Drosophila melanogaster: one gene and its partners. The protein of the gene in region 1 interacts with the protein of each later gene in a pairwise test. Each region holds a gene or a part of one and is shown on either strand. Other genes may lie near its edges. The genes, in order: OS9, CG13585 and KCNQ.

Evidence for each region.
Region 2: the proteins of OS9 (region 1) and CG13585 interact in a two-hybrid assay, tested with the Drosophila melanogaster proteins (one large-scale study listed by BioGRID).
Region 3: the proteins of OS9 (region 1) and KCNQ interact in a two-hybrid assay, tested with the Drosophila melanogaster proteins (one large-scale study listed by BioGRID).

Annotation. Positions count from the first base shown.
Region 1 is NT_033779.5:19,964,210-19,968,729, forward strand, and holds OS9 (Olfactory-specific 9), read right to left. Parts: upstream 2,302-4,520; 5' UTR 2,268-2,301; coding exon 2,211-2,267; intron 2,152-2,210; coding exon 1,609-2,151; 3' UTR 1,455-1,608; downstream 1-1,454. Other genes in the region: CG10680 (uncharacterized protein), read left to right, coding at 22-72, 130-156, 217-372, 435-566, 631-801, 854-1,072; Hf (helical factor), read right to left, coding at 2,738-3,301, 3,365-3,445.
Region 2 is NT_033778.4:24,528,759-24,533,947, reverse strand, and holds CG13585 (uncharacterized protein), read right to left. Parts: upstream 2,355-5,189; 5' UTR 2,312-2,354; intron 2,304-2,311; exon of another isoform or gene 2,214-2,303; intron 1,837-2,213; exon of another isoform or gene 1,570-1,836; intron 1,509-1,569; 5' UTR 1,479-1,508; coding exon 1,407-1,478; intron 1,351-1,406; coding exon 1,305-1,350; intron 1,052-1,304; coding exon 837-1,051; 3' UTR 557-836; downstream 1-556. Other genes in the region: CG4622 (uncharacterized protein), read left to right, coding at 1-447; Brca2 (BRCA2, DNA repair associated), read right to left, coding at 4,613-5,189.
Region 3 is NT_033778.4:10,152,427-10,157,615, forward strand, and holds the start of KCNQ (KCNQ potassium channel), read right to left. Parts: upstream 2,452-5,189; 5' UTR 2,349-2,451; coding exon 2,296-2,348; intron 2,209-2,295; coding exon 2,023-2,208; intron 1,920-2,022; exon of another isoform or gene 1,834-1,919; coding exon 1,616-1,833; intron 1,558-1,615; coding exon 1,382-1,557; exon of another isoform or gene 1,176-1,381; coding exon 1,050-1,175; exon of another isoform or gene 992-1,049; coding exon 881-991; exon of another isoform or gene 873-880; intron 681-872; exon of another isoform or gene 666-680; coding exon 478-665; exon of another isoform or gene 450-477; intron 348-449; exon of another isoform or gene 291-347; intron 1-290. Other genes in the region: mlt (mulet), read right to left, coding at 4,244-5,189.

The DNA of each region.
Region 1 (4,520 bases):
GTGTCAGTCGAGATCTGCGAGATGTTGCCGCTCCAATTCGTTTTGCTGGGCTGTCTGTTCATCGCTCAGGGGGTAACTATTCATCGGTTTGTTCCACAATTTAGGCTTCAATGAGTTCTATATTTTCAGATATGCCACACTCTGCCGGATCCCAAGGTAAGTTTGCTAGCAAACAATTTAGATAGTATCTTCTTTGCAATATTCCATAATCCACAGCTAAGGGTGCCTCGTGAAACTATCAACATTCCCACGCATCTCTTCAAGCCAGTGAGTCCGAAATCGAGCAACAAACCTATTTCTAATAGATCATCCTTAAATGGCGGAAACAGCTCTGCCCTGGCCGAAGCAAATAACGATGTCGAGTTTCTAGAGGTGAGTCTCATCCAATACACTTAATATAAATGGAAATAAATATATATTTATTATCCTTGAAGAGATCTAGCGGTGAAGTGGAGGAGGTGACCGACACCTACGAAGAGGAGGACGTTCCACTCCGACCTATCCCCTTCCAACCTCGACCGTTTTATCCTCAGATCCCTCCCCGATCCAACGGTTTCCCCATTCGTGTAAGTGTTTTTATAAGTAGTTACACATAGTATTACAATCCGATTGACGATTGAACTATTTCAGCAACCCAACTATGACAATGCATTCCAAACCGATTACAATGTGGGTCCCAGAGGCAGCGGCTTCGACAACAGACCTTTTCCCAGTTCCCCGGATTTCCGTGGCAGAGGCATTCGACCAATTCCTGACTCCCCATTCCGCAATCAAAACTTAGGAACCTTTGTATCTCGACCGGTAATCTTGTGCAATCGTTTTCCTAACTAAAAAACTAATACACCTTCTCCAGGTACCTATGCCATCCAGTGGTTCCATTATCCCCCTTATCGCCGGTGGTTCCAGTATTCCGACTGGTAGAAGTGGTCCCCTTGGTTCCGGGGGCTCTTCTAACAACTTTTACCGGAGCGAATCCTATAGCTACACATCGGATGGAAGAGGACCTCCCCAAATCGAGCGGGATGTGTTCGACTCGCGGGATGGATTTGGATCATCTTATCGCAACTTTTAACACCTTTCCTAAGAGAAGCTGATGAATGAAAGTTCCGAGTTCTCAAAAACAACTAGTTAAGGCTGCTAGAGATTATACTGACTTGTCTGTGTGTAATGTAAAGATTCTTGGCATTACAAATAATCAGTTATTTTACTTTCCGCACGGTTTATTTATCAGACTAAATAACAATTGTATTGAATAGAAAGTCAGTAAAACTTTCAAAGCTATTGAAACCTGACAGCTTACAAATCTAAAAAAGGTATATTAAGGTATTCAATACCTTTGTAAAATGAATTCCACATTTCTTACGTCATACCTGCACTAAGTAGTAAACACTTACTAGCGTATTTATTATATGCTCATTGATTGTTAAATCAGCTGCAATATGTAATCAAATTTTAGCTTCCGGCGAGCGTGCTAATACAAAACATGAACTCTGGACTACTGGTTTTGATATTTGCAAGGCAGTTTCTGGAAATAATATATACGTTCGGACTATGTATCTGTAGTTATTTGGTTTAAACTTAAATGTACTTGAAACATGATATGTTTATTCAAATGAAATCAGAGTTGGTTAACTTGTCCAGCTTCTCATAGACATCCTTTTCGTTCTTAAAGTCATTAAACTGCTTGACCATCGCCGCGTTCCTGGCCAACCGACTGTCGGACCATGTGCTCATGTATTTCTCCACCTTCTGCTCTACGATTTTCAGAGTAGTTTCCAAGTTTCTTTCCAGGATCTGCTCCAGGTCCTCAACTCCGTGCTGTATGAATAGCTGAACGACAACCTCGTCAGCTTCCGATTCGAATTCTTTGCTGCCTGCAATCGAAATGATGCTTTCCAGTTCCTCAAGAGCATCCTCCAGTCTGTTCAGCTCGAATGAATCATCGAAGTCCAGGGTGTCCAAGGCCGCGACGAAGTCCTTAAGCTCCCTGAGAATGTGTCCCTTGGAGTTTGGTGGTAAAATGAGTTCGGCCTCGTCGATGACCAATTGAAAGACATGTCGTAGCTGTTCCATGGCGTCTGTTACCATTTGAAAGAGTTCATTGGACACTTCGAATTGTAACTGCCATTTGTTAATGAGAGGCGCTGCAAGCTGAAAGTTAAAGGTTTCTGTTGATTCCAAAAGGATATAAGCAAATCTAAGGATCTTACCGAAAGCTGGAGGGCAGCTACAGCGACTAGAAAAGTCCAAGTTAGTCTGCTGGCCATGATTTGAAACTGTATCTAGTCTCTATCGAACTGATTCCTTTTATATTCCCTCTCTTAAATTCACAATTTTTATACAAAATGGGAGAACGCCTCCTCTGTAATGAATACCCACTGATCGTGAGACAACGTATAGACTGTAATCAGACTTCAGAAATCGGTGAGCGTGATAAGAACGAGTGCTGCCCCTTCGTATATTAATTAGTGGGTAGTGGAAACCATGCATTTTGTTATTACAAAGTCGTATATAGTTCCAAGTCACGATAATATCTTTATTGCTTTAAAGTATCAGTTCTCGATATCTACACATGTTGATCAGACAGTCGGAAATTTTCCGGAAGTTAAACGGCATTTTTCAGGAATAAAGTCCTCGTATAAATAGATTCCGAATATTGTTCTTTGAAGTACATTTCTCATTTTATTACAAACACTTTCTAATTCTATGATATTGTTTAAATATTTAGCTATTAATCTTAAGCCTTCGTCCATATACCACTGGCCACCCCCTGCACCAAAGCCTGAGCCAATTTGGTGTAGTCCATTAGCTGGAGCTCAGGAAGTTGGCTCTTCAGGTTCTGGGGAAACTCCAAGAAGGTTGTGATCAGACTGTCCTTGGTTTCGGTGGCCAACTGGGTGACGTTGGAAACCAATTCCGACCTGTCCTGTCGACTGAGTCGCAGATACTTGGTAAGATGCGGCTTGACCTTGGCGAAGAATCTGCGGATGGCGATCTTCTCGCCGGGAAGAACCTCGACGAGCAACTTATCGGGAGTCTTATGGTACATGAGGTCGCTGTTTATCCAGGCGAAGATATAGAATGCAGTGCTGTAATAGTCCTCGTTCCCAGCAACCAGGTCGAGCTCCTCGAAGTACTGCCGATCGATGGTTTCGTTGGCCGGAAGACCCGGTAGTCGTTGGCGGGCATCTTCGATGGTCGTGTAGAGCACCTGATTGAAGAGCCTCTCCACCGCTTGAATTGTATTTCTCACCAAGATGGTAGGGCTGCGTTCTTTCACTTGGGATGAGTCCGCCAGAGCCTGGCAATCGAGAGGAAAATCAATAAGTTCCTTATCTAATCCACTGCCGACTCACCGACTCACCAGACAGATAAGACCCAGAAGCATCGAACAGCAAGTGCTGCCGCCGATAAGAAACCTCGAACTGCGCCCTGATCTCGCCATGCTCCTCTGATCGCTGCTCGATTTAGACTGATCATGTCGGACGGATGCCAAACGGTCTCCCCACCCAAACAATCTCGACTGGCTTAGGTTTTGTTTGTTTTATTAAGCGCAAGTAGAAAATATCTCAAGTACTGTTTATACGAATTTCGTAGAGTGAGCAAATTAATGGCCATTAATGTTCGTTCGTGGTTTTCTATTTAAGCTAGCTAGGAAAAAAAGATGCCGTCTAGTCGAATGTTAGTAGTAATCTGCATACACACGAGTAACATTAACAATTAGATTTGTAAATTACACATCTTAGCATATACTTAGGTTATTAGCAAGCTACTGCATTCTCATATTGATCCGGACTATATGTATATATATATTCATATTCAGCATTTGTAAATTGGCTTGTAACGGGAAGAAAGTCGTCCGGATAATCAAAATATGCTCATTCTTTTGTACACTTACAACATTTTCAATCTGATCTCTAAAGGTTGGTAAAATCGAAAAAGTGTTTTTAAATAAATTTAATTGTAAAGAAAAGAGTCTGGATTACCAAAACATCCTTAATAATTTGTACAATAACCATATTTTCTATATTATCTTTTAAAGTTGTGTAAAATCAAAAAATATCAAGGATCAAGGATCGTTTGGCATGCGATAAACGTCCTTATAACTATTTCATTTTGTATCTCTGCAAAAGTACTTATACATAAGTCTTATTACATTTACGTTCAGAATAATACGCTTTACCCGCGATTGTTGGCAAATGCACTGGCATTTTCAACAATCAGCTTAAAATAATTAAATTAACGTCCAATTGACTTAGGAATGCATACTTTATAGTTGAATACTGAAAATTTTTTGTTTTGAACAATTTTAATCCGCATTTCGAGATAACACACATATGTAGGTACACATTGTAGTAGGACTATCACTGAAACACCAAGTTGCATATTGATATATATTTGATATAAGTTATTTCGCATATATACATAGCTTTTTGTGTTGCAGTTGTCCAGGCATTGTACTGATTTGGCTTTTAAATATATATATATATATATAATATTCTTTATAATTGAGACCTGAT
Region 2 (5,189 bases), on another chromosome or scaffold:
CCACCTCCGCCCGAAGAGTGCGAAGATGGCGAACTGACAGCGCGCTCGCCATCTCCAAGCCTGGAAGATTTGAAGGCCCAGCAGGAGGAGCTCCTCCAAGAGCTGGATGTTAATGCGTCGCATAACACGACAGCGAATGAATCGAAATCACCAACCGACCTGGATGACACGTCTGAGACGGAGGTTGGTCCATCTGCTGCCGAGTCCGGAAATAATGAGCAGTCCCGATCAGCACCCTCGACTCCCTTTAAGGCGTCTTATGAGGGCACGCCTTTGCTGAAATTCTCCGTTTACGACAGACTGCCTGTGGGCAGCAACTTTAAGGTGGGCGTCAGCGATGTGATCAACTTTGAAAACCTGCCCGACTCCACGGGAAAGTACGAACAAATGAAGGATCTGCTAAAGAACGTACGCGAAAAGATGGTGAAACTGCAGAACGAGAACTGACGAGACCAGGGAGACGGCAATACAAACCACATCAATTCCCGCCCACCATATGTACATTTTAAAGATTTTAAAGCCTCTTGTACAAAGGAAATACACAAGGAAAGCGGTTAGTTTTCCAAAGTCTTTTAAAAAGTGTCCAAATATGTTAGTTGATAAGCCGGTGTGTTTCAGAGTGCGCGGTTTTGTGTTTTGTACAATGTAAGAGGTGTATAATTTGCCTAATCTGTGTTCTGTGTAAACGTGCGAATGGATGCCACCAAGTCGATTGATTTGGTTCTATCCGTGGTTTCTGTCCCAATAGTGGGAGAATTAACAAAACAAGGAATTGCGGTCTGAAAATTGTGTTGTGGATGCTCAGGTTTCGTAGAAGCAGGGGTCCTCGGAGTCGCCTAGTTGATGGCCGGCGGAGGAGGCTGCGGCGGAGAGCCGTCCTGGTTATTGTCGCGTCGGCCGCCAGCTCGCTTGTTGCTGGTGAAGTTGCCCCAGGTACTCGGGTTCACTATGTACATGAACATGGCCACGATCAGGAAGATCATGGCGACGGAGAAGCCGCTGTCATCGCCGCGTCCGGCGATCTGCGCCTGGTGCGGAGTGCGTCCGGTGACTGAGGACGGATGGATTAGTTATGGTTTATACTATAGTCCGCAAGTAGAAGCACTGCATACTTTTTGGCAACTTATCACTAAGCGCGTATGACCCTAGTCTATACTGAATTGTTTTAAAAATGCAAATGCGAAAAATGAATGTTACAATCTTCACTTGAGTAAAAGACTGTTACTGATTTCATGCTGTGCAAAATGTATTATAAATCTAAATGTTTTCATACTTAAAAAAAGACGTGAGACATTGATACTGACCATCGTAACACTCGTTGTCCCCGCAGGCATTCTGGTTTTGTCGTATCTATAAGGAAGTACACTTGATCAAATGAGCTGGGAGCTGCGCGCACAGAAACTTACGAAGTTGATGAGGCGTTGCATCGCATACTCCTGCGACCAGACGCACTCGCAGCCATCGAAGTCGTCGGACATGGTTTCGGATTAGCCTTAGTCTGAGTTGCGCTGCGGAGATCGGAGTAGGTTATACTATAGGGAAAACTGAGTGTGGAATTGCAAATACTACATTTTGCCTGCTGCCACTGACACTGACGTGTCTGTTCGGAGATCGAGAGAACTGTTTCCAAACAAAACGAACCGAACTGAGACTAATTTATTTGCGGCCGCAATCGAGTTTTATACATGCATACTCATATGGTTCCGATAAAGGGGCTTTCAAATCGCGAGTGCGGAGCGAGTCGGTCGTATGTACTGGTACCTATATGTCTGGACTATGTTGTTCTGCCACTTGGGTCCCACAGAGCACAGCTTCAATTTTGGGGCAGCTGGGAGCAAATAACTTACACACTTGACAGCTAACGCCAGTTGAGCAGAGGGATTCAACTGTGCAAAGGGTCCACCCCAATGCCGCCCCACTTAGTGTATACACACACGTAAACCCGATTGCTTGGTGTGTAGGTATTTGACTCAAAAACACGATTATCAGAAGAAACAAGACGTCTAGTTTTAATTGCCAGCGAGAGCGAGGGCCCTTATCACACTTAATTACAAGGCCTTTCCGTTGGAAACTCCCCGATTGAACCAAAACCACCCCGAAAACGGTATCTGGCTTTAGAAAACGTAAACACAACTTTCCCCTTTTGTTTTTGTTGCCACAAAGGGGGCGTAAACAAACTCATCTGCGGGCGTTTGGCAATTAAGTGTCGTTACCTTGCGGGTCTTAACACTCTAATATGCTCCGATTTGGAATGGTAAAAGAATTATGATACAATTTCACTGCCACAACGTAACAATTACACTTTTCTTACCAACTGGAATTGGAATGGGAATAAAAAGTGCACATATGGTAGTGCTGGACAGCGACCAGAACTGGAGGCATATATCGGTGGAGCTGCCAGTGCTTGAAAGTTTCCATTCAGTGGGCGGGAAATTCAAAACTGTTTGATTTGGAATCTACTTCATCCTGCAACTCAAACAGCTAAAATGACTTGAGTTATTTGCTAATATACACTAGGTTAATGGAAGAGTAATATGACATTTGTCTTCTTGAGCTTTGGTTTGATGGGGTGGATGGCAATTAATCCATTATCCTTTTAAATGCAACCTGAAAATATTTTTGCCTTGTCATGTGGGCATTCTACGCAGCCTATAAAAGCATTTTCCCGCTGCCTTATGGTAATTAAAATGATTTCTTTTCTGCTGGTGTCAGTTCTTCTGTGCTTGGTCGGGGCTTCTGACTCGGAATCCATGCAAGTCCAAGTACTCCAGGATCTCAATTTGGCTCTCCAAACGGAGCTCAATGTGTTCATCGATTTTGAGTGCTGCGCCACCTCAGAGATACTCCACAAATTGGACTCGCCGAGAATTTTACTCTCCTCCAACTCGAGGGAAGCTAGAGATCTTAGAATTCGGGGAAACTTCACAGAGAGTACCCTTATCATAGTAAGTGTAATGGATTCAGATCTGAATCCACTGGTTGCCAGTCTTCTGCCACGCTTGTTGGACGAGCTCCATGAGCTGCACATAGTGTTCCTGAGCAATGAGGAACCAGGATTTCCGAAACAGGACCTCTACACCTACTGCTTCAAGGAGGGATTCGTAAATGTAATTCTGATGAGCGGAAAGGGCCTCTACAGCTACCTACCGTATCCTAGCATTCAACCGATCAGCCTATCAAATGTGTCCGAGTATTTCGATCGCGCAAGGATAATTCGAAACTTTCAAGGCTTTCCTGTCCGCATACTTCGAAGCACATTAGCTCCTCGGGACTTTGAGTACTCCAACGAACAGGGTGGCTTGGTGCGAGCAGGATATTTGTTCACAGCGGTCAAGGAGCTGACTTATCGCTATAACGCCACCATCGAGAGTGTACCCATACCCGATCTGCCGGAATATGATGTATACTTGGCCGTTGCTGAAATGCTACATACAAAAAAGATCGACATTGTTTGCTACTTCAAAGATTTCAGCTTGGAAGTGGCCTACACAGCACCACTTTCGATTATCCGCGAGTACTTCATGGCTCCCCACGCCCGTCCGATTTCCAGTTATCTGTACTACTCCAAGCCCTTCGGCTGGACCCTTTGGGCGGTCGTGATTTCGACTGTCTTGTACGGAACCGTAATGCTGCATCTGGCTGCGCGAGGAGCACGAGTCGAGATTGGAAAGTGCTTGCTGTACAGCCTCAGCCACATCCTATACAACTGCCACCAGAAAATCAGAGTTGCTGGCTGGAGGGACGTGGCCATCCATGGCATTCTAACGATCGGAGGCTTTATACTGACCAACGTCTACTTGGCCACGCTCTCCAGCATCCTCACATCCGGGCTGTACGACGAGGAGTACAACACTCTGGAGGATCTGGCCAGGGCTCCCTACCCCAGTCTGCACGACGAGTACTACAGAAGTCAGATGAAGGCGAAAACCTTCCTGCCCGAACGGCTCCGCAGGAACAGCTTGAGCTTGAACGCCACCCTGCTAAAGGCGTACCGGGATGGGCTCAATCAGAGCTACATATACATATTGTACGAGGACCGCCTGGAGCTGATCCTGATGCAGCAGTACCTGCTGAAGACGCCGCGCTTCAACATGATTCGCCAGGCCGTGGGTTTTACCCTCGAATCCTACTGCGTGTCCAACAGTCTGCCGTACTTGGCGATGACCAGTGAGTTCATGAGGCGCCTGCAGGAGCACGGGATCAGCATCAAAATGAAGGCGGACACTTTCCGGGAGCTCATCCATCAGGGAATCTATACCTTGATGCGCGATGATGAGCCGCCGGCTAAGGCATTCGACCTGGACTACTACTTTTTCGCATTTGTTTTGTGAACTGTGGGACTGATTTCGTCTCTTCTCGTTTTTTTCGCGGAACTCGTAAGTGGGCACCTTTAAGGAAGTTGGTTAGCGGGTGGCCCTTATCGGATCGTTTATTTCCTTATAAGGTGCACTTAACAAAAAACGCTTATTATGATAACTTATACAATTATTCAATCTGTCATGATGAGACCACTAATGGCATACCTTAATTAATTCAACTAAATCTCTACCCATTTCAAATCGGCCAGCGGTTTAAATATTTTGGGTATAAAGCAACGCTTACTTAATGTGTACTAATAGCGACTTCGACTCAGACCAAGTCTTCGACTCTTTTTGGGTTGCATGCAAATAGGGGACATGTCCTCCGCATCCTGTCTATTCTTTGTACAGTCCTTGGAGCGATTTAAGTCCCTGTCGGCCAGCGGAGTACTTGTCGAGGAAGGCTTGGGAGCGAATCGCTCCATAGTGGGTAAGGCGCAGGAAGTGGAAGTTTCAGTTGACAAAATGATCTTTCGCTTTCTTTTTAGTGACAGGAGGTTCCGGCGAGCTATTACGGACTTCTTGGTGGCCTGGTCCAGTGGTGATTTGCCGGCAAGTTGCGATAGTGAGGAGTGGATCTCCTGCGACCTTCTGGGTGTCCTCACCAATGGCTGGCTACACAGCGGATGCTCTTCCTTTGCAGAATGCTCCACGAAGAAGTCGTGTTTGAAATGCTCAATATCTGAGGTATTTTTTAGACTTTGTACATTGCAAAAAGTTGGCTTGTTGGCACTGTCTTCTGCCGCCGCTTCATCTACGAACTTGGCATCAATATTTCTCGATTCCTCAGAGATCACAGTTGGTTGGTTCGAGTCAGTGCTTGCATCGGCG
Region 3 (5,189 bases), on another chromosome or scaffold:
AAATGTTTACAAAAATTATATTATCTATGGGAATAAGTAAATTATATAGAACATAAGTATTTAATCGAGTGGACAGAAGAAAGACGGATAGAAAGACAGTCGGGTGGCTATAGTTGCATATGCTAAGTATCTCTATTTCTACCTATGAGTGTTTTAGTTTGATCAGTGTTATTGTTCTGTACACATTCAATTTCCAATTGAGCTCTACATGACAAGTTTCCAAAATTTAGCGCCTTTCTACGCGCTTCTCACAAGTTCTAGCTCGCCAGCTCGTAAACAAGTTTTTCTTTGGTTATAAACACCAATGCGAATAGTGTTTGTGTCAGTGTGCATGTGTTTGTGACTGTGTAAGTGTTTTATCGATACTGTACAGTACTCGTTGAACTTCTCTTCTGTAATATACCCCCAAAAGATACTTGAGTTTCATTCAAATGTTCCGCCCCACAAAGGATCAGTCGATATTAAGGCAATACATACGAAGCTGGCGGACTGGGCAGCGCCACCCGGTGGATGTTCCACGTAGCCACCGATACGGAATGCTCGTCGGCCGCATAGCATCTCCACACGGCCTGGATGAGAGTGGCCGCCGGCTGGCGACGGCGAATCATGTGCTTCTGCCGCTGCTGCTGCTGCACCTTCAGAGCAAATCCGCTGCCGAGGATGCCCTGGGAAAAAAGAAGGTATGAAGTGAAATTCGAATTTATGATCAACTGTGGCTGCGCTTCTATGATTGATCGATAAGAATAGTATAACAGCACTTCATTGTCAATCATAAATAGTGAGATAACATGTCTTTATCACTAGCCCTCGTATCAAAAAGTAATTAAAAATAGGTGGCACTATTAAAGCTATGTTTATTCGTAATCTAAAAGTGACTTACAGCTGGCAAAGCGAAAAAGGATATTCCCAGAAGGGCGCAGCAGGAGGCAATTAGCTTGCCCTGCCAGGTGATGGGCACCATGTCTCCATAGCCCACCGTGCAGAGTGTGATCTGGAATCGAAAGGATGGGCTAGCACTGTGATTATGTCATGGGATCCAAGGGACTCACCACACCCCACCAGAGGGCTTGGGCGAAATTGCTAAACTTATCATTGACGTCCTTCTCCCACATATAGACCAGGAATGATGCAAAGATTAGACCTAAGAACCCTATGTACATGGTTGTGATCAGTTCCTGCAAGTCAAAATATATATGTAGATAGGAAATCGTGTACGTTTTTAAAGATAAGGCATTTAATTAACTTTAAAGCATGTGTTATTTACGCAATTAAAGTGCACTTGTCATCCCGATAACGATAAGAAAGTGATCTTCTTAAGCACTCTAATCAAAGAGAACTTGAGCAAATACTTTCAAGGTGTAAACGTGGAAAACAAACTCACCTGTCTATGTGCGTATACAACCGAGCCGAGCAGCTTCCAGGTGCCGCCCCGCCGATCCATGCGCACCATCCGAAGGATCTGAAAGAACCGGAGGCCACGTAAAGCACTCGTGGCGAACACCTGGCCCGAGGTGCCCATTCCTAATACTACAATTGAGGCTAAAATGGTGACAATATCTGGAATGCACAAATATCATTCAGTTAGTGAAACTAATTTTTTTTTTTTGTTATTTACCTATAATACAGAATGGTCGCTTCACGAACTTCAGTCGACCCAGGCATCCCTGGTATCGCGATCGGCAGCCCGATGACCAGAGTCGAGCTCCAAACTCCATTGTGAACCAGATAACCACCAGGATCTCCATGCGGAACAGAATGTAGACGGCGTCCTCTTCGTACTCCTTGATGGTGGAAAACACACTGAGCGCCAGGCAGGTGAACACCATCAGGAATCTTTAGGAAATGAGCAATCACAAATTATTGTAATGTAAAGTAAATAAATACTTTTTTCTCTTATGGCATTCAATAATTTTTAGTGTAATAAAATCAACACTGCTTCTAAAGAAATTCACTTTTCTTACGTGAAGCTTGAACTAGATGCTATTATGAACACTTTAACAACGTTTTTTGCAGTGTACTTACACCATCACATGGTAGAAGATGGCGTGCAGGCCGCGCGGCCGCTCCAGGAAGTTGTAGAGGCGACTCTGGAGGCGCCGGTAGCGAACATCGCGGCGGGTGCCGCGGTTGTAGTTCAGCGGCTTTCCTAGGAGTGACATTCGCGGTTGCAGGATTCGTTCCGAGTTCGGCCTGCCCGGTCTACATTTCCTGCAAGTCCAGAAGTTTGAAAGTTTAGTATTTGAATTTGCTGCATTGTGGTAATCACTTAAGTTGCTATTATTTTTTCAAGTGTACCCCTTGTACCCCCTTATGTCGTAGAAGGCATAAATATCGTTGTCCGGATCCATTCTGATCTCATTCCACAACGCTGAGTTCTCGGAAAATCTCGGCAAATATTTTTGACACTTCGGACACGTCTGGCTCCAACGACGATTGAACCGCAACTCGATCGACGGGCGAGCGACGGCCGGTTAAAAAACCTTCCTTAACAACTAGACTTTCAAAACCCCATGTGTAAATTTTATTAATTATCTACATAAACAGTTTTTTCGTTCCACACACCTTGCATTTTTACGACAGCCCAAGTCTGCGTAGACCTCTATTTGATTTGTTTTAATAAATACCCCATATACCCAAGTATATTGCAGCTCGTCATCAGCAGAGCCCCATAAAATTTCGCGCATTTTAGCGACGGTTTCGTTTCGGCTCCCCATCGCCGTTGTGGGCGGGTCAGGTTCGCTTTAGTCACGATCTCTCGACTTTGTCTTTGCCCAACGTGCTGCCTATCGATCCTACGTCATTAACATTTGGCACTTGCCATACCCCAACAACCCAAATATGGGTGAGTTTTGGCAATTCATTCGGGGAGTGCTGGAAAACTACCAGCCGCTAATGGGAGCGTTTTACTTGGATATTGGTATTCGATTCTATAAGGGTTTCAGTGGTAGGATAAAATTAAGTACGGCACCTAAACAACAGATTTAAGGATCAGATACATCTCTCTCAAAAGTATTTATTAAAAATAGGGAAGATAAGATTTTGTTCAGATACTTTTAGCTTTCAAATATATGAATTACGAGACAATGATCGCTTAATAAGGAAATCTATATAAACTGCTTTTGTCATGATTATTGATCTATAAGAAAAGATCTTTCACAAGACACATAACAAGGAAACGCTCAACAAGAAAAGAATTCAAGCTTCTCATCTTGACCTTCTTGATAAATCAATAAATTAACTGTTCATAAACAGCTTTAGATGAAAGCAAAGCAAATAATCGTGATTTCACTGGCCAGAACGTGATAAATACCCGCTAAATGGTGAATATCATGTAGTTGTAATCAAAATAATAGTACGAGCATAGCATTTTATTTGAATATCACATAAATGTTAGTATAAGAATTATAACTTACATCTAAGATACCTATATATCAGATTCAAAATATTATAAAATGTTTAACATAAATATAATTTTTTTTTTAATTTTGTGAAAATATTAAATATTTTAGAGTTATTTAAATCGTTGACGAATTATTTACTAGACATTTCATCACTATTATTTTGAACACCAGTGTCCATAACAAAAATGTGTTAAGTGGACGTGTAACCATCATAGATACTTATTGTTCAGCTAATTGTATGTGGGAAGCGGGAGAGCCAGTTCTCAGGTCTCTTTTCCGGCAACTTTTCAAAGCTCCCCTCGAGCGAGATAATTGCAGTGCTGAAGTCAGCTATCGACAACGGGATCGCGAAAGCTCCCCACTATCCCCAATCCGTGGACGTGTGCCTGTGTTGGGGTGCTTCGAGTTCGCTCTATGAGTCATATCTTATCTTCCAGCGATCCCCAGCGCAAAGTGCTGCCCATCACCATAAAACGCGGAGAGTGGGTAAATTTTAAAATTGTTTAATGCATTCTTGCTTGTTTTTTTGATTTTTTGTTTTGTTTTTGTTTTGTTTTTTTTTGTGGTGGTTTGTATTTGTATTTTGTGTGTGGCTTAGGTTAGGCAGTAATAATTAAAATATACGATGTGGGTGCGCAGTAATGCTCGCTTGGCCATTTTCAGAACGTATGTACACAGGGGTTCGCTGCGGAGAACAGAACGGCACTAACAGTAGAGTAAAGTAAATGTAAATGATTCGTGTACAAGATCACAAGTTGTAGCACCAGGCGGGGGACGAAGGGCGGTTCGGGTTAATGGTAATCCTCTCCAGATACGGAAGCATGTAGCCCATACGTCGCGCCTCACTTCTTGGCATCGATGATGATCTCGTCGCCCGACTGGATGTTGTAGCTGTACAACTGCTTGTTGGGGTACCTCATCTCCTCCGGCCCGAATTCCTTGTAGTCCTGATCCAGATAGTAGAGGCGCATCTTGTTGGGCGCCAGACCCACCAGCTTCTCCAGCTTCACCTTCAAATCGTTGACGGTCAGATAGATGTCCACGAACCGGCTCTCGCTCACATCGTTGTAGGTGAACAGGACCTTGACCCGCTTGTCTGGTTTCAGGCTCACATTGACCAAGGGATCCAGCTTGCCGTGGATCTGCAGAAGCTCTTGGTAGCGCGCAGGCCGTTCCTCCTCCGGCTTGTCCATATAGTATCTGACAAAAGCTCGCTCCGAGTCGACGCGCTCATCGCTACTGATCTTGCCGCCTCCGTTGAGCATCTCCACGTTGGGCAGCCTGGCTATCAGGAGCTGCCTTCTCTCGTGCTCCGTGCACTCCAGACTTTCCCAGAGGGGCCAGTGTTTCACACGGAGGTTGCGTAGCTCGCTAAACTTGGCCAGCTCATCGATGGCCGCCCAGCTATCCAGTTGCGCGGAACTTAGGTTCAAAAGCCTCAGGCTGGGGAAGTATCTATGTGTCTCGCTGCTCTCCTCGGCCTGCAGCGATTTGATGGGACAGTCTGCCAGAACGAGGGCCTCGAGGTTGGGAAACAGCCGGCCCAGCCGGCAGATTTCCTGCCAGTGCTCGACGGGATTACCGGTGAAATGCAGGGTCTTTAGAGCAGGATGTGCTTTGGTGATTCGCCGCTCGGTTTCCTCTGGCGTTTCCGTTTCCTGCAGCCGCTGTTCCGCCTCCTCAGCATCGATCAGCACCTGCCTGTAGTTGTTCAGGCTGAGATGCAGTTCCTGGAGCACGGGCAAATTCTTCAGCAGGGTATCCACGCAGGCCCAGTCCAAGTAGGTG